Linked DNA regions of Ovis aries. The protein of the gene in region 2 interacts with the protein of the main gene of each other region in a pairwise test. Links are inferred from orthologs where the notes say so. Each region holds a gene or a part of one and is shown on either strand. Other genes may lie near its edges.

Region 1 (11,657 bases), on a different chromosome or scaffold from region 2:
ATGGACGGAGGAGCCTGGTGGGCTACAGTCCACGGTGTCACAAAGAGTCAGACACGACTGAGCACCTTCACTTTCACTTCCAATGTAAATAAAAAATTACATCTTTTTTTCATGAACCTTTAACTGAAATCTAGCATTTCTTTCACCTGTGTATGTAAGCAACAAACTGACAGTAGAACCTGTGAGTTGGTCTTTAGCAGAATTCAGACATTTTTATATCATATGCTAGGTAAGTTGCAGAAGTTACATGAACTGTCATTTTAAAAAATATTTTGAAACTGTATACAGTTGGTTTTCGTTAAAACCTACCTATTTTACAATATACACTTATAGGCATCATTCTGAGGTGTCCATAGGCTTCCCCAGAGAGTGAAAGGACCCATGGCAACAGAAACCATTATGTGGTCTATGCTGCCCAGTGAGCAGCAGAGAAACAGGAAGTGAACCTATCCTTGATGCTCTCTCTTAAGCATCAGAAAACCCAAGTAAGCTTAGCAAGTCTTCATCTCACAAATTCATAGTTAAATTCTCTGAATACCACATGGTACTTTAACTCACAGAAATCGTAATTTAAAAAACTGGTGGAAGTCTTGTCAATTAATGGTCTAGTATATAAACAATCTACATCCAATGATACTAAGAAAATTTATTAATACTAAGCATTAGTATCAATGATGTTTGTACCTTTTATTTTCATTCTCAGTTATAGACTGTAATATAGTATGTAAATTATTTAAGCACCAAAGCTGATGTTACATTAAGTCTGTGTTAGTCACTCAGTCACGTCCGACTCTTTTCGATCCAAAGGACTATGGCCCGCGGGGCTTCTCTGTCTGTGGAATTCTCCAGGCAAGAATACTGGAGTGGGTAGCCATTCCCTTCTCCAGGGGATATTCCTGACCCAGGGATTGAACTTGGGTCTCTTGCACTGCAGGCAGATTCTTTACCATCTGAGCCACCAGGGAAGCCCCAGTGTATATATTATGCTGCTCATCAAGATGAACAGCTTACTGATGAAGCCAGAGATTTTTATGAAAATGGAGAAAGGTAAAGTTAAGGTTTAAATGCCAGAAGTTACAACTATTTTTTTTCTTACACTAATATGCACATAAAAATTAAAAGAAAAAAATTTAAAACATAAGAGTTCAAAAAATTTTCAGCTAAAATTAAACTTTAAATTAAGCCACATGTGAAGGACAAGCCAATGACTCTATATAAGAGAAAGGAAGAATTACAACCCATAGCCTCACGGCTCTTCACGTTCTCAAGTAGAAAACCAGAGATACTCTAATTTGAGATAAATATTACTGAGAAGATACTATCTTTACACTTAGGCCTAGAGTCTCTCTCTTCTCACTGCACATTATGGCAGTAGTTTGGAATTGAGGTGTATTATGAGTAATTTATTGCTGGTTATACAGTTTCCAAGTTTGCAAATAACTTGGAAGAAAAGTTTGGATTCAAAGCTGTTCTTTTAGTAAAATCAGTCTTATTCAGTGTATTCTATTATAAAATGCTTTCCTAAGAAAGGAGATAGAGTTATAGGGAGATGAATGAAAAATTTAAATAACCTACTGAGGATGCAGCTTTTAATGAACAGATTATTGGTGCACTATTAACAGTTATACTTATTAACTATTTAAATGCTTTACTTTCCTACAAAAATGTTTCATTTTTCCTCAAAATCTGAGGGACTGGTTCACTGATTTGCCTCAAGGCACAGCTTAATACAAAACATTAACACTAAATTCAACTGACCGCTAGAATATATCTGGACTAAAATGCAGTGTGTCTAACATGTGCTGTACTATAACATGGAGAAAGGTATTCCCAACCTCATAAAAGTGCCATGATATTATACTCTCATGGGGCACTCTATTGTACTCTACATGTGGCTTCAAGTTTTTGGTTTCTTTGAACAAATATCATAGAAGAGAAATGTAATTTTATGTTAGACAAATAGGACCACAACCAAAAGTACAGTCTGTTTTGAATAATAACCCAAGCTCTCCTCTTACCTGAACAAAATGACTAGGTGTTTCACTGCAAACTGAATGGATCTGTCCATTTATTATGGGAATTATCTTAGCTAAAGGCAGGCTGACACTGGAAAGACTGAAAAATCATCACAGTAATAATTATTTTCTGAAATTATTTTATAGGAATTTAACATTTAATTATAAAAGAAATAGCCATTGAAAAGTACTTACAGAAATGTTTTAGTAAGAAAATAAAGACCAAACATAATTTTACCATCTAGAAATAACAATTATAACTGACATCATAGTTAATTTCTTCCAGTAATTTTTTTATACATATCTATACTTTTTGGGTGTTTTTATCACCCAGCTATAACCTCCCAAGCAACACTGTTTTGCATTTTTATTCTCATGCTATAATCACTCATTCCATCTCATTAAAAGTTCTTCCAAAGTATTTGTTTTTAAATTACTATATAGTAATCCATCCTCTAGCTGTGACAACTTATATCATCAGCTCCCTATGGTTGGGCATTGAGTTTTTGCCTAATTTTCTTTAATATAAATAACTCTTTGTATTTACAGTAAATTACTGAGTTGAAGGATATGAATGCTTTTAAGCTTTAAAATGTGTATTACCAAATTCCCTCTGCTTCTCTAACAGTCTGAGAGGATACCTGCTCCATCATGACTCCTTTCTACATCAAGCATTTCTTTACTCTTCATATATCTGATAGCTAAAAATCATTATCTCACAGTTTTGGTCTGTATTTCCCTTAATTACTAGCAATGTCAAATAGTTAAGTATAATAAACACTTGAGTCCTACATGAGTGATCATGAGTACTACAGGAGTTAAGAAAAGATTGAAATGGCTGATACAACTGCAACATAATTTTTATAATTCTCTAGTGTACAAGATCAAGTATTTGTTTTATATAAAAATTCTTATCACTATTCAGTAAATAACTAATACTTTTGCTAGATAGACACTGTAGTGAAATTTTGTTGACTGGAGCACCTTAATTTAGAGAACTTACTGAGGCTGAATTTTTTCTGAGAATTTAAAGAATTGCTATAAAAGATTTTAGGATGACATTTAAATTGCTTCAGAAAATAAACTGTATGACCCTAAGCATTCCAAATCCTCAATGTTAACTGCCAATTAATCCTTTTTGTATAATAAAGAGTGGTCCCAGAGAACTGGGCAAATAAACTGTTGCTCTATGTATTTGAGAATTAAAACAGGCATTGCACATACATACTGCGTATCAGTTACTGTTATCCCTAATTTTAACAGATGAGTCTACAGTCAGTTAACATGGATTTAGTACCTATTATTTTCTGAATTTAATACAAAAAAACTGCAAAACAGTGTAAATCCTAATAGATTTAAGGTGCTCATGCTGAGATTATAATAAAACCATAAGCTATCTTTTGGCAGAGTGAATCCATGACTTAGTAATTATGATTTAAATCATTATCATCTGTACTATCTAAACAAAAAGGGCTACAGAACTAGGAGATAATTCATCAAATGGGAATATAGAACAAGAATGCCTGGTTGAATTATGAAGGCCAATTATATCTTATAGTGCTGGAATAATGTAAGAGAAAATGTTAGAACTTAAATAACATTTTCATAGTTTTGTATTCTAAAGCATTAAATTAAAAAAGCCTCAATAATTGAAACTGGCCTATGGAAAAGTAGTTTCACAAGTTAAGTACTTCTGTATAGTGGCAAAATTTTAGAAGAAATAAACATTTAAACACTGAATACTGAAAGAGCTCCTCCTAATGAAGGAGTCATTGGCTTAACAGAGTTTAATTTGTTGAAAAAATAAACATTCACATTTGTCATCTGAGATTTTCTTTTTTTGTTACCTGGAACAAAAAATTAACATATCAAAAAGCACTGTTTTATCAGAATAGTCATAAGACTGGTAACATTCTTATATGTCTTCTTACCTATTCATGGAGTTACCATGTTGCAGGTCTTGTTCAGTAGGTCGAAAGAACTCAGCCATGTTGTCTAGTAGTCTACTGAATCCTCGGTTGAGACAGGTATTCAAAACTGTACTAAAATCTGGACTACATAAAGAAGATAAATTACTTTTTAGATTTTCAATGGAAAAGGGCAAAAATTTAGTAACTATGTGGCTACCTTTGACAGCCACCACCATTTCTAGTCACAATTTTATAAACTAAAACACTATAAAAATGTATCAAGGAGTCAATATTAAAAATTAAGCATAAAAAGAGGGCTAATTGTATAACGTAATGCAGTGAGGATATTTGCTCATTTCGCTAGATTTTCTTACATTATGCGGCACTTCATAAATGTACTTTTATAAATATCAGTAATCATTACTTCTCTTGAGGAAACTCTTATGAGGAAACTCTATTAATATTTTGTTTATGTGTTCAGATGAGGAACTGGACACTTGATGCATGAAGAAATTTATCCTAAGGTATGTTACTAGTAAATATAGGAGGCAGAATTTGAACCCAGGCCTTTCTGATCTTAAAGTTCAAGCTCTTTTTGTTATATCATGTTATTACCTCACAGAAACTCTTTGATATGAAGAGTAATATATATGCTATCAGGGTTAGGAACTGCCCAGTTGAACAGATTAGTTCTGTCTCTGACGTGTAGAAATCACAATTCATCACATGGCAATAAATTTGGTAATTATTAACATATAAACAGTAAAGTAATGGGAGTAAATAAAATTGCCTGGGGCAGTTGAGGATGAAAAAAGAACAAATACCTGGGAAACATTAGTATTTAAAGGAAAGACAGGCATAAAGGAACCTAAGAAGAAATGATCTGAGAACTGGGGAAAAACTGGGAGACTGTCAAGGCAACCATGAGAGAAAGAATTTCAAGAAAACCTTGATCAACAGCGTTAATTATCAGAGGAAGGTCAAGAAAGATGAACACTACAGGTCGACTGGATTTGACAAAAGAACACTGATGACCTTCCAGAGTTTCATGAAGTGACTTGAATAAGAAAAGAAGTAGAGATTGATATTGTAGAAAGTCAAGGACTAGAACTTGATGAATTCATATAATAGCTGAATTAACCTAGAAAATTTGCTGATTTTCTTCAAGATCATGAAAAAATATTAAAAACAAAGGATATAATCTGCCCAGAAAACAAGAGAAAATGATCTTAAATTATCTTTAATTTAAAAAACACTGATACTTTAATCACTTAAGATAAAGCAGATGAACTGATATTACCACTAAGATTTCACAATGATAAAACTACCTCAAAGAGTGTAAGTGACTCAACCAAGGTTGACCAGCTGATAAACAGCAGAGCCAACCTTGAATCTAGGTCCTCTCATCTTCTAATACACAATCTGGGGCTTTTCCCATTTGTAACATTCTGGCTCTCTTCTGGGTAACTTAAAAAAGTTAATACTCTATTGAAGGCGGATGTGAATTTTTATCACTCAAAGATTTAGTAATATGAGAGTCGAACCTGAAAGGGTCAGGGGAAGTAGTTCTCATAACTGCGTATGTGTGTGCACACACAGCACGTGTGCACGTGTGTATACCTGAGGATTAGCTAGAGCTGGCTAGCTCTGGCTGGCAAGAGCACCTCTTCCCAAGTCAGCACTGAGTGGCATCAGATTAGGAGTCAGCAGAGTCAGCACTGCTGTGGCTACAATTTTAGTTTTCGTTTTTGTTTTCTTTATAGGGCTAGTTGTTAAACATATACCAGAATACACTGGGCATATAAGAATCACCATTTAAAGCTTTCCTCAAAATATAAATGCTAACTATCTTCCGGTCCCTTAACTAGTATATCAGAATCTCTAGGCTAGGAAAACAGGTAGGGGCAATCCTGGGTGTCTTGGAAAAAAAATCTCTGCTTACCTCCCTACCCTAACAAGACAAGCACGAGTGTAGGTAGGAAATCCTACTAAAAGCAGGGGAATATATTTAAAATTTAATTTTAACAAAATATTATGTTGAATATTTGTCCAAGAAAAACTATAAGATGGTCATGAATACATTTAAAATAGAAGCACATGTTCCTGTGACATGCAGTGTACATACCTTTCCAACATGTCTCTAGTTTCATTGAGTAGTTTAATAGTGGTAACATCTCTAGGAGAAAGTCCGCAGGCCTGTGAAATTAAAAGGCCACACTTCAGGGTTTCAAATATAGCACAGGGTTAATGTGAAACAAACTCAAGAGTTCAGGAAATCTGAAAAGTCTATGTCCTATCAACAATTAAAAAAACATGTTCAACTCAAAGAAACTATACAGGTTGATGTGCACAGATGAGTAGCATTTAAAACACTGAGTCACAATAGGGTCTTTATAAGATCTTTATTTATCTGAAGGACATATTAACAAAGAAAAATTAGTCTTCCAGGTTGCAGAGGCCAGAGATATTTTTTTCTATTATTGTTAAGGGATTTTATTAGGATATGCATGTGTCTTTTCTCATCAATCTAGTTTAATCTAAGGCTCCATGTGTTCTTCCAATCTAAGTTGTAGGTTTAAATTCAATTCAGATAAGATGTGCTCCATCGTCCCTCTCATTACCTGTTCTTTTGAATTATTTTCTTTTTTAAGTCCACTGTTGAATTTTAAAATGTGGAAATTGCTTTATCATTCCAGAAATCTTTAAGAATACTATTATTGCATCTCCTCAAGATTCTAATTTTTAAGTGAGTTTTCTCTTGCTTCTCTTGTTAATTCTGACAGGTCTGTTCTGTTCATTCAGTTTAGCTTCCATTCTGCAGGGGTTCATGAGGTTCTCTTAAATGGCTTACAACCTATCTCTGGAGCCTCCAGGGGAGCGGGAAGCAGGCAATGAAAAACATGGCAATCTTTGTTCCAACAGGGCCTTTAGGCTGAGGTATGGCACAAGGGCCTCTTTAGTCTAAGACTTCTCCAGTCGTTAAGTGAGGAAGATCCTTCTCTCAACTGCAAAGAATGGATGCAATCTGCTTACATGTTAATAAGCAGCAATTACTTTAAAAGAGGCCTATAACCTGTAATCCTTGTATTTTTATTATTCTTAATCAATGAGTAATTTAGATCACAACTGTCCGGGACACACCAGGGTATAGCAACACCATGGCTGATAACTGTTGGAACTGGCCTTCTCTGTTTCTCAACTGGATGACTACAACCTCCTTCAGTGCACTCTGATACTGTTATCACTGATTTATCTTAAAAAGTAAACATGATTGTGGTACTGACCTGATCAAAATTCACCTTTGTCTAGAACTGGAAGTTTAGACCCTTTATCTTGGCATACAAAGCTCTTTATGATACTGTCCCCAGCCACCAGCTTTATCTTCTGTTACTTGATCTCAAAGAAATATGCTTTAGCCACTGGAACTGAATTTGTCTTCTGAATTCTCCAGGTTTACTGAACATGCTTATTCATTTTGTATCTCAATCATACATCATAGTGTCTGTCACATAACTAATATTCAATAAAATCTTGCTGAATATCTAAAATGCTTTCAAACTAGAAATCAATCACATTTATAGTTTGTTTTCTAAATTAGTGAGGTTTTATTTAAATTATTGAAATGTATCTTTCAATCACTTACCTTTCAAGAGACTCAGAAATCTAAATTTTAAGACATAATGAAAAAAACATTAACAGCAAAGAGTAACTGGTTTTGCTTAAATAGTTTTGAATTAAGCACCTGAACTGCTAATGGAGTTTCTTCATCTGGCATCATGTAATGGCATAATAAAGATTTGGATCCATCATTATTAATCCAAGAAGATGATTTATGCTGCTCAACGAGATCTCTGATTTCTTTTAGTTTTTGCTCCAAGTCCAAAAGGGACAAAGAATGTTTAAGAGAAACACTAGAAACAGAGAAAAGGAAACTGGGATAAGTGAAACTATACCACACGTCCTACGAATACTCCTTTCCTAACAGGTTACTACCCGAGATCCTGTTTCATCCCGTCACACCTGAAACTACTGACTATGAAATCATCAGAGTAGATTAAGAAATCGGCCATTGGTTTGGGGCCAAGAAAAATCTCGTTGCAGATTTCACAAGAAAATTCCCACTGTGATTAAAGACACTGCCATATGAACAGGAGTTAAAAGCCTCAGAGGCAGATTTTTAAAAGCAGGTCTTTTGTCTCATGACCCAAATATTTTTGGTTTGTTTTGAAATCAATCAATACACAATGAAATATTAAAGCTTTCCCCTTAGTATCAAAACGTTGATACCGATGAAGAAAACGGATTCCACAATGTAATACCCAGGGCTGTGTCTGAATTAGGTTAAAAGAGTTTTGCAGACCACCGTTTGTCAAGTCACCAGCTTCACTAGAACTATGTTAATTTTTCTTTTATTCATCAGACTCAGGAAGTTAGGAAAAGCCAATGCAAAATGCCTCACCTTCCTAAAATCTTCTGCACAGCTTGTTTAATGACAGTGATCAATTCTGTCAGGCCTATAAAAAGAAAAATAAATGTAAAAAAAGCCTTGTTTACATTTTCAATTCCTCAATAATACAAATGAATGAATTAGAATTAGTTTACAGGTCATAAATAAGAATCTCACCATCTCCAAGGAGGTGCTGAATACTTGATAAATATTGCTGTTGGACATCTGGGGGAGCAAGAACTGTCTGTACGAAATAGACATAAGGTGCTCAATATTATTAATAAATAATGTTTTCATTATAACTGAAGCTGAGATTCTAGGACCTAGAACAATAGGAAACACTACTCTCTAACATAACCAAGTCTAGTTTCAACATATGAAGAAAAATAATGGTTAAAGTTTATAATCACATGAAATATAATTATTCTATATAAATTATCATGATAATATTTGGTTAAATTTTGAATCTCTTGAAAGATAAGGCAGTATCAGTTTAAGTCTATTAAACTTACGGTGCCATTTTTGCCAACTGCTGCATTATCCAAATAAATATATCCACCGATTATGTTTAACTGGACTCGCAAAAGAACCACCAGCATGCAAGTACTGTACACAGCTACGATGCTTCTTGTGAAACCTTTGCAGAGAAAAGAAAACCTCTTGGTACTAATTGTTAAAACACAAACAAATGTGTAAAATCGCAAACCATCCCTATGTTATTTTTTCATAAGACAACTTAAAATATACGTTTATAATTACTTCAAGTACAAAAATGTATCAATTCAAAATATTTCAGTTTATCTGATTACAAAATATTTATTGTCAATTAGGAATGATCTCTTAATTGAAACAATAACCAATAAAGATAATAACCAATATATTCAGTGAAGGGTTAAAGGACTGGGAAGCACTCAGTTGTAGCCTCAGAGCTCTGAGCTGTCCAAGGAGCTTGTTCAGAATCAGGGAAGAGCGCTGAGCATGAAGAGCTCCAGCTGTCACTGGCAGGTAAAAGAGCACAAAGGATAAGCTCATACAGGGATGGAGGAAGGTACAGAGAGACAGAGACCAGTCTTCACAGGTGTTTAGGACCGACTGTTCAAAACAGAGGTAAGAGAAAGGTGCTGACTCTTGCTGAGACGAGGAAAATGTCCAGTGGATTTAGCAACACTACTGATCTGTGATATCTGCTTGGATGGAGATACAGGAGTGGAAACCAGGCTCCAAGTGTGTCACAGAATGAGAGGGAGTGCAGAAGAAAAGAAACAGAATGTAGAAAGCTTTAGTATTACACAAGGGAGATTAAAAAAAGTACAATAGCTGAAAGGAAATATAGGGTACTACACAGGTTTATTTCATTTTCAAACAGGCAAAGCTTAAGCATGATTTGTGTTTCCCTGGTGGTTCAGTGGTAAAGAATCCACCTGCTAAGAAGCAGACACGGGTTCAGTCCCTCAGCTGGGAAGATCCCCTGGAGAAGGAAATGGCAACCCACTCCAGCATTTTTGCTTGGGAAATTCCATGGACAGAGGAGCCTGGGAAGGTATAGTCCATGGGCTGCGAAGAGTCAGACATGACTTAGTGACTAAACAACAAGCATGATTCAGTTAGGAAAACACAAGAATGACAGAGGATGAAGTTCTGAGACATGGAGATATATGTATCTATCTGTCCTAGGGAAGCTTTTTGTTTGAAATTTTTATCACTAATCAAAGTTTGCATACAATATCAAAGTAAAATTACTATTTAGGTTGGAGTAAAAACTTCGTCTATTGTATCAGAACCTAATATACACATATGTAGTCTAGGATAAGTTTATGTATTATTATAACAATAATACCACCACCACCACGAACATTACTAAGCAGTTTCTATGACCAGTAGACATCAATCTACTTGCTTCACGAGAATTATTTAATCCTGACGACAACTCCATGTGGTAGGTAAAGAAGAGCCACCCACATAATAGAATACAACAATTTCCCATTAAAAATATTTTAAGGCTATGCCTTGAAATATGTAGGCTTACTTATTATCTTCAGATCCTCCCATATTTCTAGCTTGTTTGAAGGCCTAAAGAAAAATATCAGAAAATATAAAAATAATAATCTAGATAATTTAATAGAAAACTTTGAACTTTGCAGTTCAATATTTAATTATATTTTATCACAAGATAACTATAACTGTAGAAACAAAGCCCATAAGCTATACTAAAAAATGACTATAATTTCAGTAACTGATGATGACACCCATTTTCATAAGAGTCAGAGACAGGACTTAGCGACTAAACGACCACCATCACCATTACCTGCGTATGTCCTTCCAGTCTTTCTCTTCCTTCTGAGCATATGATATGTGTACTATAAAATCATACCGGAAAAGCAGGAATAATATTTATCTTTCCCTTATTTACTATTTTACAAATAATGAAGTAGGTCTATAATCCTTCAATGGCAAGTACTGTCTTTTAAATATCATTACAAACACAGGCATTTAACTTGATGTGTTTCTATCCACTGTAGTTGTTACCCTTATTGATTTTCAAACTGCCCATCTTTGACCATTAGGGGGCTATCCACGTTACTTCCTAAGTTCTTCTCAAATGAACCCTTCAGTCTTTGACAGCTTCCTTGCTTTTGGACACAAAAGGTGTCTGGGTTCATTTTGTTCAATTTTTGCAAGCCTGAAATCATCCATTTCTCTGAGAGTCCTGGTTCAGAAGACTCAGCTAGTATACTATATGTGTGTATTTATTTATTTATTATATATATATTAAAGAGATAAAGTACATCATGAATTCATATTTATACTTCTAATTCAAAATTAGGATCACTTTTTTTTTTTTTTAACAATCTCATTAATCTTATACCCGTATTTCTTTCTGCCTGCACTAGAAATCAGTGAAACCAATATAATTACAACTTGCTGCATCCCTCACTCTGTGGACAACAGTCTCAGAATAGCAGTACTGAAAAGTGTTTAAGGTTTTTGTTTTTTTCAATTCTGTATGCTCTAAGAGTATATATCCCACTAAAAATACACAGTCAAATTTCTGTTTTAGAGTCACTTGGCATAGTTTCTGTTGGGCTTCCCTGATGACTCAGTGGATAAAGAATCTGCCTGCAGTACAGGAGACACAGGAGACATGGGTTTGATCCCTGGATCGGGAAGATCCCCTGGTGAAGGAAATGGCAATCCAGTCCAGTATTCTTGCCTGGAAAACCCCATGGACAGAGGAGCCTGGCAGGATCACAGAGAGTTGGACATGACTAAGCACACAGGTACAGC
Region 2 (12,313 bases):
TCCCCTACAAGGTAGCTGCTCATCGGACTGGGCCTCTAGCACCCAACCAGGGCCTGTGAGTATGTGCTGAACACGGATGGGCCGCAGTGTGACCTGGAAAGGGAGGGTTCCGGGCAGTGTCCTTCAGCCCAACTTCCAGCTGTAACAAGTGAGGGTCTGAGAGGCCGCAGCCCGGGAAGAAGTCGTGGCAGAGCAGCCCAGCCTGAGACCACCCCCCTCGCCTCAAGTTCCCCCCTCTGTGAGGCCAGGATGCCTTTCTCTGGGAAATGGGGGTCTGCAAAGAAGGGCTGGCTTTGGGCCTTTGGAGGCCAGGGGCAGTGGTTACTATGGAGACTGATGTGGCTCCTCATACATCTGGGAATTGAGCGATGAAGGGAGGTAGAGTCTGCTGATGTGTCTGGAGCTTCGAACCTCAGTCCCCTGAGCCTCATTTTTAGCCTAGAGCTGGGATGAGTGTGAGTGAATCCCTCCCCAGTCCCCTCAGCAGAGACTGCGGGGGAGTGGATAGGGTACCCTGTGAGGGCCTGATCGGGGAGTCTGTGCAGGGAGCTGGGTCTGCAGAATGTCGGTAGTCACTCACGGTACTGGCCCTACCCCTCACTATCATTCAGGGGGATATTGAGGTGCTGAGATCCTTGCTGGGCCTCCAAGAAGTTCTTCTGGGGTGTGGAGCGGGGAAAGGGAGGTAGGCATGGGCATGTGAAGGATGCTGGTCTTCTAGGCCAGAGGCCTCGTTTGACCTAGCTCTACCAGGACTTTTCTACGTGACCTTAGACCACCCAGGCCCCTTCTCTGGGCCTCGGTGTCCACCTCGGTATACCTGTTGGACTGGTCTAGCTGTCTTCCCCTGTGGTTCGGGCCAGAGTGAAGGAGACAGGATCAGGTCCAACTTGCCCAAAGGCCCTTCAAAGCCCAGCCCAGGTGACCAAATTCAGGCAGGGGCCCAGGAGGGCGGGGCTGCCCTGGGTGCCTTCTGTACACACGACCCTCTTTGTCTCTGGGACCTAATGAGGCACAAGATCTGGAGAGGAAATTCAGGCCCCTGTGCTGCTGCCAACCTGGCTGAGCTCCTGATCCCTTCCCTGGCCTGAGGGAGGGAAGAGAAACAGCCTCCAGCCCCAGTGTCCCTTACAGTCTGTCCAAGGGTGGGGGTGGCAGGCGCGATCCTCTGTCTCCCATGCCCCTCTCCCTCCCCAGAAGCACTGGAACCACCAGCCCTGGGAATGCCAAAGAAACCCTGCACAGCCCCCTTCCTCACTCTCTCACTCTGCCTTCCACACTTCCCCTTCCTCACTCTGCGTCTCTAGCCTCAGATACAGGGGTGAGAGTACTGCTGATGTGGTTTGGCAAACAAGTTCTTTAAGATGGCAGGGGATGTAGGAAGGAAGGAAGGAAGAGCCCCAGCCAAATGCCCTGAGCCCTAGTCTTAATCCCAGTTGCTAACTTGATTCATGACCAAGCGGCCTCAACAGTCACTGCTCTGGCTGAGCTGTGAGCAGAAGAAGAGAGGACCCTGTCACAGGAGACCCTCACTGTGGTCTCTTTGACCAGTGCCATGCTGTGTGACCTAAGACAAGTCCATTCTCCTCCTTGGGCCTCTTGTTCCCCATCTGTGAAATGGAATTCATACCAATCTGGCCAAGTTACTAGGAGGAGTTAAGTATGAGTGAGCCTGGCACCCAGGAAGTGGTGAAAAATAATGTAGATGATACCCATGGCCACCTCTCTGTTCCCCAGGAGGTTTGCCACTCTTGAGGCCCTGGACACATCTCCCTGAGTCTTCATTCCCTGGCAGGGGCAGAGCGGGAAGTTAGATCCCCCGTCTGAAAAAGAAGGAAACTAAGCTGGGGGGAGACTTAGGGAGGCAGCTCAAAGATGGGTTGTGGTTTCTTGGTGAGGTGTGTTACAATGCCTGATTCTGTGGTCAGACTAGACCAGGATTCCAATCTTGATGAGGCGTTCTTAAGCGGATCCTTTGCTCTTGTGGAGATAATATCTGGTGGAGAGGATTAAGTAAAATACTGTACTATTCTCAGTTCAGTTCAGTTCAGTCGCTCAGTCGTGTCTGACTCTTTGTGACCCCATGAATCGCAGCACGCCAGGCCTCCCTGTCCATCACCAACTCCCGGAGTTCACTTAGATTCACGTCCATCGAGTCAGTGATGCCATCCAGACATCTCATCCTCTGTCATCCCCTTCTCCTCCTGCCCCCAATCCCTCCCAGCATCACAGTCTTTTCAAATGAGTCAACTCTTCCCATGAGGTGGCCAAAGTACTGCAGTTTCAGCTTTAGCATCAGTCCTTCCAAAGAAATCCCAGGGCTGATCTCCTTCAGAATGGACTGGTTGGATCTCCTTGCAGTCCAAGGGACTCTCAAGAGTCTTCTCCAACACCACAGTTCAAAAGCATCAGTTCTTCAACGCTCAGCTTTCTTCACAGTCCAACTCTCACATCCATACACGACTACTGGAAAAACCATAGCCTTGACTAGATGGACCTTAGTTTGCAAAGTAATGTCTCTGCTTTTGAATATGCTATCTAGGTTGGTCATAACTTTTCTTCCAAGGAGTAAGCGTCTTTTAATTTCATGGCTGCAGTCACCATCTGCAGTGATTTTGGAGCCCCCCAAAATAAAATCTGACACTGTTTCCACTGTTTCCCCATCTATTTCCCATGAAGTGATGGGACCAGATGCCATGATCTTCGTTTTCTGAATGTTGAGCTTTAAGTCAACTTTTCACTCTCCTCTTTCACTTTCATCAAGAGGCTTTTTAGTTCCTCTTCACTCTCTGCCATAAGGGTGGTGTCATCTGCATATCTGAGGTGATTGATACTTCTCCCAGCAATCTTGATTCCAGCTTGTGTTTGTTCCAGTCCAGCGTTTCTCATGATGTACTCTGCATATAAGTCAAATAAGCACGTTGACAATATACAGCCTTGACATACTCCTTTTCCTATTTGGAACCAGTCTGTTGTTCCATGTCCAGTTCTGACTGTTGCTTCATACACATTTCTCAAGAGGCAGGTCAGGTGGTCTGGTATTCCCATCTCTGTCAGAATTTTCCACAGTTTATTGTGATCCACACAATCACAGGCTTTGGCATAGTCAATAAAGCAGAAAGAGATGTTTTTTTGGAATTCTCTTGCTTTTTCATAATCCACCAGATGCTGGCAATTTGATCTCTGGTTCCTCTGCCTTTTCTAAAACCAGCTTGAACATCAGGAAGTTCACAGTTCACGTATTGCTGAAGCCTGGCTTGGAGAATTTTGAGCATTACTTTACGAGCATGTGAGATGAGTGCAACTGTGCGGTAGTTGGAGCATTCTTTGGCATTGCCTTTTCTTTCTTGGAATGAAGACTGACCTTTTCCAGTCCTGTGGCCACTGCTGAGTTTTCCAAATTTGCTGGCATATTGAGTGTAGCACTTTCACAGCATCATCTTTCAGGATTTGAAAGAGCTCAACTGGAATTCCATCACCTCCACTAGCTTTGTTCGTAGTGATGCTTTCTAAGGCCCACTTGACTTTACATTCCAGGATGTCTGGCTCTAGGTGAGTGATCACACCATCGTGATTATCCGGGTCGTGAAGATCTTTTTTGTACAGTTCTGTGTATTCTTGCCACCTCTTCTTAATATCTTCTGCTTCTGTTAGCTCCATACGATTTCTGTCCTTTATTGAGCCCATCTTTGCATGAAATGTTCCCTTGGTATCTCTAATTTCCTTGAAGAGATCTCTAGTCTTTCCCATTCTGTACTATTCTCAGAGTACCATAAACCTGCTGCCCTGGTCCCCAACAGCGCAGCCCCGTGGGCCCCAGCCTTGCCCCGCCCCTTTGCCCACAGCCAATCGGCGGCCGCCTCTTCCGCGCATCCGTTCCCTCCACCTCTGGCCGCTCCTCTCCCGCCGCCACTTCCTTCCAGGGAGGCTACCCTGTTTGGGAAGAGATTCCCTGGAGAAGTTCTCATTTCTTGGGAAGCAGCTGAGAGCTGGAAGATGCACCGGAGGGCCAAAAAGCGCTGTGAAATTGATCCCGAGTTCAAAGAGCCCGTCTGCCCTCTAACCATTTTACAGATGGGGAAACCCGAGGCCCAGAGAAGGGAAAATCCTCGTTAAGGTCACCCCGAGCGGAGAGCAGAAGCCCAGGCCAGGCTTTTCTCCGTGAAGATGGGAGTTCAGGTGCGCGATTTGGCGGGAGGGCGGCGGGAGGGAGGACATGCTCCTTGTGGGAGCCGGGGCACTAACGATGCTGGCCAGGGGGATCTTGACTGCGTGGGAGGCTGGACTTCTCGCTGCCTCAGTTTCCCCAGCACTACCTCTGGGAGAAGTCAGGCGACGAGGCAAGGGGCCAAACGCGCGCCTGCACACAGTCCGATTGTCCTTAGGCTGTCCCCGCGCTCCCCACCCGCCCAAGTCTGATGGAGAAGGCTCCTCTGTGGGCGCTGCCTCCCAAGCCCTTTAAAAGCCAGTCCTCCCGTTCGAGCCTCTCGGCATTCTATTGGGAAGGCTCTTGATCCCTACTCCAGAATTAACTGCTCAGGCTGCCGCGGGAGCTTTTTCCCGGAGCTCTAACTGCGCAGGTGCAAGGCAGCAAACCCGGAAGGCGGAAGAGCCGGTGGGGCCGCCGGGGTCGGGGGCGGAGAGCGTGTGAACCAATGACCTGAAGGAGTTAGGAAGGGCGGGATTAGGCCCGCGGTTACTTAACGCTACCCTGGTGGGAGGTGATTTAAGAAATGGGGTGAAGGGTGCCTCAACTGCCCTTCGCGTCGCCGTCCTTCTGGCCCGCGGAAGTTAAGCAGCAGAGAGGCGGGCCCAGCGCCGGAAGCAGGAAGGAGGGCGCAGGAAGCAGGGCCCCGTAGCCAGTATCGCTGTCGGTCCGTGGGTCTGTCGGTCCCGAGGGCAGGATGGAGAAGCTGCGGCTGGTGGGCCTCCGCTACCAGGAGTACGTGACTCGTCACCCGGCCGCCACGGCCCAGCTGGAGACGGCAGTGCGCGGCCTCAGTTACCTGCTGGCAGGTGCCACCCTGACCTTTGACCCATCCCTTCGGATCTCTGACCTCTGACCCCACCTGCCTCCCCCTCCCTTCCCTGCGGAGCCTGGGTAGTGATCGCTGTGCTTGAGGAGTTCCTTCCAGGTTCCCGTTAGGGCATAGGGAGGGAATGTCCAGGGGCCCGAAGCAGCAGGGAGAGGCAGACTCTCACCGGCGCCTCCTTCTGTGCCTTCTCCCCAGGTCGTTTCGCCGATTCGCACGAGCTGTCAGAGCTGGGTGAGCCGGGCTCTGGGGTGGGTGGGGGGCGAGAGGGTGGGGGAGGGCTTCCTAGATTTCCCGTTAGATCATCCAGTTCTGTGATTGAATCAGACAGGGGTCCAGCGTCCACTGTCCTAGGCCGTCGCGTATGCCCCCTCCCCCGCCATAGTTGAGAGATATGTCTGGGGACCTTGACTGGTCAGGAGGCTGAGCCAAGCGTCCCTTCTGCCTTTGCTCCGTTAATCTTCCCTACAGTCATGTGAAGTGGGTACTGTTATTGTCCTCCTTGTCCAGTTAAGGGAACAGAAGTTTAAGTGAGGTTAAGGAACAGCCACCGAAGGCCTCAACCAGAATTCATGTCCCAATCTCCCAAATTCCAGAATGCCCAGGTTATAACTGCTTCAGTGGTGTTTACCCAGTCAGTACAGGAGAGACAGATCCTGAAAGGATGAGCTGGGTTCTAAAAGGTAGGGATGGAAGAGAATTTCAAGGACAGGCTGCAGAGAGAGCAAAGACCAGGAGGTGACTGCACCTCCCATGTCTCTTCGGAGCATGATGGGCGGTTCTGGGCTGCTGGATAACCAGTGCTATTCAGCAGGACAGTAGCTGGTATGTCATAGAGATCAAACCATCCTTTCTTGTTCTAGCTGCTCACACAAAGGTCGTTGAGGGGAGTGGAGAGCTCTGAGGAAGTGGGTGGCAGGACCTGTTGTTTCCACATATTGTGGGGATGGCTGAGCACAGCAGGGGATAGGTGATCCCTGCTGCTCTAGGGAGAGGGGGAGGGGGTGGAGGCTGCAGAGCCAGCCTCTCAAGGCCACTCTCTGCCCCTCAGTGTACTCTGCCTCTAACCTGCTTGTGCTGCTCAATGACGGAATCCTACGGAAGGAACTTCGGAAAAAATTACCCGTGGTAAGAATTGTGAAGCAGAGGGCTCAGGAACAAAATAGTAACCACCAGCCCGTGTTTGGGGCACGCATTATGGTCTCCTGGAGTACGAGACATGGCTGCATCCACCTGTGCCTGTAGCTGTTGGGCGACAAGTCCAGGCATCAGTGTCCCCTTATCAGGTGAAAAGACTGGGTTTCACAGGGTAGAGTCGCCTGTCCCAGCAGGAGATCTCAGGCTTAAGCACTTAATCTTGGGAAGGGGAGGTGTCCCCTGGGGGAGGAGCTGAAACCAGGGGGACCTCCTGACCTCTTGGCCTGGGGTTCTTGCAGTCCCTGTCCCAGCAGAAGCTGCTGACATGGCTGAGCGTGCTGGAGTGTGTGGAGGTGTTCATGGAGATGGGGGCCACCAAGGTGTGGGGTGAAGTAGGACGTTGGCTCGTCATCGCCCTCATCCAGCTGGCCAAGTATGTCGGGACTGTGGAGGGCCGGCCTGGGGTGGGGGTCACTGAGACCAGCTGTACCGATGGTGTTCAGTAGAGCAGCCTGGACCCCTGCCAGCTAGCCACCTCCCCCTTCCCCAGCCCTGCCGTACTCCCAACCCAGGGCTGTACTTCGGATGTTCCTGCTGATCTGGTTCAAGACTGGCCTCCAGACCTCACCCCCCATCGTTCCGCTGGACAGGGAGACCCAGGCACGGTCCCAGGGTAAGTGCCTACCCACTCTGGAGTGGAATGGGGCACGGGGCTGATTGGTAAATGAGAGCTGACCTACGTACTGTCACCGTGGAGCACACCTCTCCCCATCAACTCATTTTGTCCTCATCGTCTTATACTGGTATTTTACAGAAGAGAAAGAATGATGAAGTCAGAGGCCAGATCAGAGCTTAAACTCAGAGCTTCTGACGTTGGAGTCCTCAGTCTCCATTGTTATGGGCTGCGGGAAGAGGGGACAGAGCATCAGGAGGAAGCAGGGGTCTTGCCAGCCTTGTCTTTGGGCTGGCTCTGTATCAAGAGCACAGCCTCATGAGGCAGGGTACCCAGCAGATGCGCCCCTTCAGGGCTTTGGGCCCATCAGCTGCTGGCCTCTGGTCTTACCCCCTTGACTTTGAGTTGGGGGCAGGTCTTCACTTCTGTTTTCATGGTCATGTTGAAAGCAAAGCTCTCAGAAGATACACCCTTCCCCTCCTTCTTAAAATTTTTTGTTTATTGGCCACGCCACACGGCCTTTGGGATCTTAGTTCACTGACTGCGGGTGGAACCCTCGCCCCCTGCAGTGGAAGCATGGAGTCTTAACCGCTGGGCCACCAGGGAAGTCCAGATATAGCCCCTCTGGCTGTGGTTCCCATGGACCACCGGCCCCCCTGCCTTGTTCCAGTGCCTGGGAGGCCTTAGTTCTTGGCTGGTATATCTGCACAGGTGATACTGGCCTTTCCCCAGGTTGGGGAGGGCTGCAGAATGCTCCCTGCTATGGATAGGTCCCAGGCACAGCCTCTGCTGTGGTGTCTTTGACTCAGCTGCTGTCTTCGTACAGGTTTATCCATTCTCCCCATAGCCCATGAGCGTTCACTGCACCTGCATTCGCTTGTAGGCTCTGCACGTGTCCCTCTGACAGTATGACCTTTTATCTGTTGCTGCTAGATGGTGACCACAGCGCTGGTAGCCAGGAGCAGTCATATGTGGGGAAGCGGTCAAACCGGGTGGTGCGAACCCTCCAGAACAGTAAGTGTGGGAGGTTGCTGGATGAGACAGCTCGGTGCTTAGGTCAGCGTGGGCCTGAGGGCCTGGCTTTCGTCAGTGCCTGCCTGCCCCCGCCCCAGCCCTCGGGCCCAGCCTCTTACCTACCTCTTACCTCTTACCTTGTGTTCTAGCTCCGTCCCTGCACTCCAGGCACTGGGGGGCCCCGCAGCAGCAGGAGGAGCTGGGCGTCGCCCCCACCCCACTGGGGCTGCAGGAGACCATCGCCGAGTCCTTGCATATCGCCCGGCCTCTGCTGCACTGTATCCTTAGCCCAGGCCGGGGTTGCGATAGACGGGGGCAGGCAGGGCGGGCCGTGTGCCGGAGACATCCTTAACGCCGTGGCCGGCAGTGCTCAGCCTGGGCCTCTGGGGTCAGCGGTCGTGGACACCCTGGCTCCTGTCCGGTGTCGTGGATGTGACCAGGTGAGCTGGGCCTGCCTGGGGGCCCCATTCCCTCCGTCCGGCTTTGTGCTGCAGGCCTGGCCTCACGTGGGCAGGCAGGGTCCCTGCCTCTGCTGTCGCTGGCCTGAACCTTGTCCCCTCCCCCAGCCTGAGCCTCCTGAGCGACAGGAAGGGCCTGACCCGGCGGGAGCGGCTGGAGCTGCGGCGCCGGACCGTCCTGCTGCTCTACTACCTGCTGCGCTCCCCCTTCTACGACCGCTTCTCCGAGTAAGGACTGGCCTCTGGCTTGGCAGAGCACCCTCTCCGCGGGGCAGGGCAGGGGAAGTGGGCTGGCTCCCCAGGCTTGCTCACGCCTGCCTTCCCTCCCTCCTTCCCCGATCTGGGTTCACGGAACACGTGCCGTGTGCTACCCTGGGTGTGCTCACTCCTGATTTCTTGGGGCCATCTGCCCAGTGTGCTGCTTAAGCTGCTGTTGGCAGGCGGGGGCAAGGCCCCAGGGACCGTGGGCATGAACTTTCCCCATCCTAAGCTTGCTCGCCCACTTTCCTAAACAGTTGGGTTATTTCCCACTGCTCACAGGAGACACTGAAGTTCAAAGAGGTTGGGCAGCTGAAATGAAGCCACCCAGCCAGCCAGTTCCGACACCCATGCTCTCTCCTGGCCCGTTCCTGCCTCACCCAGCCCTTCCTCCATACCCTGAGAGGGTCCAGAGCTCCTAGCCACAGAGAGGCCTGCTGGGCGTGAGTCAGGGGTGACTCGGCGCCAAGTCTCCCAAAGAGGTCACCTGAGGTCAGACCGAGATTTGAGGAGGGGTCCCTATACTGTGACTGGGGCTGTGAGACAGGCTGGAGGCTCCCGGAACCCACTCTGTCCAGGTCGTAACAAGAACACTGCTTAAAGGCTGGAGTGATCGTTAAAGGCTGGAGTGATTGTTAAAGGCTGGAGTGATCGTTGGAATCGTACTTAACATTCTGTACATATTACTTCTGTTCATTTTCTGAGTTGGTAGAAAGTAAGCTTAGGTCAGATTTAATAACCACCTCATGAAAATAAGTTTCTATTTTCAGATCAGTTTGAAAGCTCACAAGGTTCTAAAGCCAAATCCTTTTCTACACTCCAGAGAAAATGCTCTGGAGACTTTGGTGGATCGTGACCTCTGCCCACAGATGGCTTGCACTCTACAGAGGAAGCATTGTAGCCCCAATATTGGTCTGAATTGAGGATTACCTAATTGCAAAGGTGGCTTCCCAGGCTACAGGCCTCCAGTCTGGCCTGTCTTCCTGCCAACCTGACCAGCCCAGCACCCTTAGAGCAGTGGCCCAGACTGAGGAGGGCCCAGAGCCTGTCCCCCAGAGGACAGGGGCAGGGTGCCGAGGACCTCTGGGATATAGTCTGGGGAGAGAGAAGTTTCCTTCCCCCTTCTTATTGTCAGACAATATAGTCTCTGGCTCTGGGCTGCCTCCCAGCTGTGGGCTGAGGTGTGACCCTCCCAGGTGTGTGGCTGGGGACGGCTGGACCAGAGCCTTCTGTCTCCTAGGATGTCCTTGATGCATGTGGTGACCTTCTGGCTTCTGGGATGCACTGCCTTTAGTCAGGTGGTTAGCAGAGGTTTTACACGCCTGGGTTTGCAGGAACCCAGGCCCCCTACTTAGGCTACTCCGTTGTTGCAGGGCCAAGATCCTCTTTCTACTCCAGCTCCTGGCAGACCACGTCCCAGGCATTGGTCTGATCACAAGTAAGCGTGGGGTGATAATTACCATCACGGAGCTTTTGTGTGGCCCGGCTCCCTGTACCTCCTTGTAATCTGACTCTTGGCACAGTTGGGAGAGGGAGCGCAGAGGTCAGGTTGGGAGGGTGACAGCTCCTTCAATGACATGAGACCAGCTTCACTGGCTGGGGACTGTACGGAGGAATGACACCTGCTGGCCATTTGGAGAGGCACCCTCAGCAGAGAGGCCCTGGGCCAGGGCTACCCACAGGGACAGCGGGACAGCTGTGTGATTTCTGTGAGCTTGAAACTCTTTGTCTGTAAACATAGCCAGAGATGGCTCTGATGCTCGCGGGGAAGGTGGGAGGGTGGGGGCTCTGACCAGGCGGACGGGGGCCTCAGGAGGGCCCTGGGTAGAGCTGGATTGGAGTCTGGCCCTCAGTCCTGAACTTGCTCCCCTCTCTGTCATTGCAGGGCCACTCATGGATTACTTGCCCAACTGGCAGAAAATTTATTTCTACAGTTGGGGCTGATGGACATTCCGCAAGTGGGGTGTGGGGAGAGGCAGGGGATGCCTCAGCTCTTCAAGTCCCTGGGCCCCTTTGCCCTAATAAAACTGACTCTGGCAGCGTCCACGCCTGTGACTGCTCCATGCCCCCGACCCGGGGCGCCCGGCTCCTGCACTCTGGCTGGGCTCCGCACACAGCCCTGGTCTCCACTAGAGCGCCCTTAATTCCCTCTCGACTCCGCATCCTGAGGGGAAGGAAGCACACGCCGCACCTCATCACTGGCCGGGGTGCCCTACTAGGACCGGGCCACGGGCTTCTGCAGCCTAGAAAGCTGGAACCCACCTCACGGGAAGCTGCGATAGCAGATGCTGCTTCTCTCTTGATCCCTGCTGACGGCCAGCCAGGCTGAACCCAGACTGGGTGACAGCTGCCCCTGTGTCTTCTGGCCCACGCCCTGCTGGGGCCTGATGCCTGGCAGCTGCTCCGTGGTGGAGCGTGGTGCTGGTGGGCCTGCCTCAGTGCAGAGGGGCACCTCAAGCCCTGACCCCTGCTCGAGAGCAGCAGGCCTTTGTCCTGTGGGAAGGGGACATCAGGCCCCAGCCAGCGCTGCGGCCGGCCCTGGGCAGCGGTAAGGTTGGCAGGGCTAGGAGCTGCCACGTGCGGGTTCACGGGGCATGAGCCGGCGTCTCCCCTGTGGTCTTCCTGGAGGCTCCATGCAGGGATTTGGGCATGGCGGCTGCTGTCTTTCTGCCTGCTCTCTCCCTTCCCTCAGTCTCTGCTGTCTTTGTGCTATGAGCAGACCGCGTGCTCCTGCTGGAGCTTCCAGCCGGTCAGGCAGCCGCTTGGGTTCTGAGAGGGCTCCATCTGCCTTGTGTCAGCTGTGCCTCCGCTGCCCCCAGACACCCTGGGACGGGCTGGCTGTCCCTGACTGCTTTCCCCAAGTGCCTCTGAGAAGCCCCGTCTGGGTCCCGGGCGGGGGGCGAAGGCACTGGGTGGTTACCACTTGAGACCCGCAGCCTTGGCTGGGCATGGTAGTGTGCTCTGGGGCTCGTGCTGTGCGTGGAAGCGAGGCAGGCCCAGCTCGCCGCCCTCACTCTCGACAGCGCGCGGGACAGGTGTGTGGATGCCTCCATGTGCCGAGTTGTTGCGGTTGGTGGAAGTATGCGCGGCCCATGGTCAGACTGCCTGCCCGCCCCAGCCGGAGGGCACCCTGGTCAGGGAGTCAAGCCGGCTTCTAAACTGCTGAGACTTCATCTGTTTTCAGCAGGCAGACGGGAGGTGGAGGCTGTGTGTGCAAAAACACAGCACAAGTAGTTGTTGCAGTGGCCTGACGGCCCTGCTGGGGTGGGAGGGCGCCCGAGCGGCGGGCAGGGCCGAATCCACCAGGCCATCGCGCCCCAGGCCAGCAATGTCGCGGAGGAGGTGGTGGGGAGGGGCCTGTTTGAAAGCGCATCTCAGGGGGCCTGTGGGCACGGGAGGGGGAAGGTGGAGGCCTGCAACCATGGGTGGGGCCAAGTTAAGACGGTGGCAGGAGGGGTGGGGGGCGACCCAGCCAGGCCTTGGGGACTGGTTGTGGATACAAAGGAAGAGGGTGGCGTCTAGTCTTGGAGGCAAGGAAATGAGGGGTTTGGAGTTAAGAGGAGCCAGAGTGTCTGAACTTGTGGTTCCTGGCGGAGGGCAGGGCGGGCAGAGGATGCTAAGGCGGGTTCGTGGGAGCCAGTTGTGTCCAGGGAGGGAGCCGGGTCCACACTGAGTTAGCACGGGGCCGGGCAGGAAGCAGAGGGCCGTATGGCCTTGCCACAGGCCTGTGAAGAGACTCA

What was found.
Region 1: the proteins of PEX16 (region 2) and PEX3 interact in binary tests that used the Homo sapiens proteins (3 or more experiments, as listed by UniProt). The link is inferred for Ovis aries from reciprocal best matches to the Homo sapiens genes PEX16 and PEX3.

What each region holds. Positions count from the first base shown.
Region 1 is NC_056061.1:68,108,620-68,120,276, reverse strand, and holds part of PEX3 (peroxisomal biogenesis factor 3), read right to left. Parts: intron 10,443-11,657; coding exon 10,399-10,442; intron 9,010-10,398; coding exon 8,885-9,009; intron 8,617-8,884; coding exon 8,550-8,616; intron 8,440-8,549; coding exon 8,385-8,439; intron 7,837-8,384; coding exon 7,668-7,836; intron 6,122-7,667; coding exon 6,051-6,121; intron 4,070-6,050; coding exon 3,947-4,069; intron 2,116-3,946; coding exon 2,019-2,115; intron 1-2,018. UniProt on the Homo sapiens protein: Involved in peroxisome biosynthesis and integrity. Assembles membrane vesicles before the matrix proteins are translocated. As a docking factor for PEX19, is necessary for the import of peroxisomal membrane proteins in the peroxisomes.
Region 2 is NC_056068.1:74,867,674-74,879,986, reverse strand, and holds PEX16 (peroxisomal biogenesis factor 16), read left to right. Parts: upstream 1-4,838; 5' UTR 4,839-4,904; coding exon 4,905-5,016; intron 5,017-5,231; coding exon 5,232-5,267; intron 5,268-6,084; coding exon 6,085-6,161; intron 6,162-6,469; coding exon 6,470-6,603; intron 6,604-6,742; coding exon 6,743-6,843; intron 6,844-7,776; coding exon 7,777-7,857; intron 7,858-8,006; coding exon 8,007-8,135; intron 8,136-8,224; coding exon 8,225-8,297; intron 8,298-8,423; coding exon 8,424-8,543; intron 8,544-8,855; exon of another isoform or gene 8,856-9,065; intron 9,066-9,946; coding exon 9,947-10,011; intron 10,012-10,458; coding exon 10,459-10,517; 3' UTR 10,518-10,617; downstream 10,618-12,313. UniProt on the Homo sapiens protein: Required for peroxisome membrane biogenesis. May play a role in early stages of peroxisome assembly. Can recruit other peroxisomal proteins, such as PEX3 and PMP34, to de novo peroxisomes derived from the endoplasmic reticulum (ER).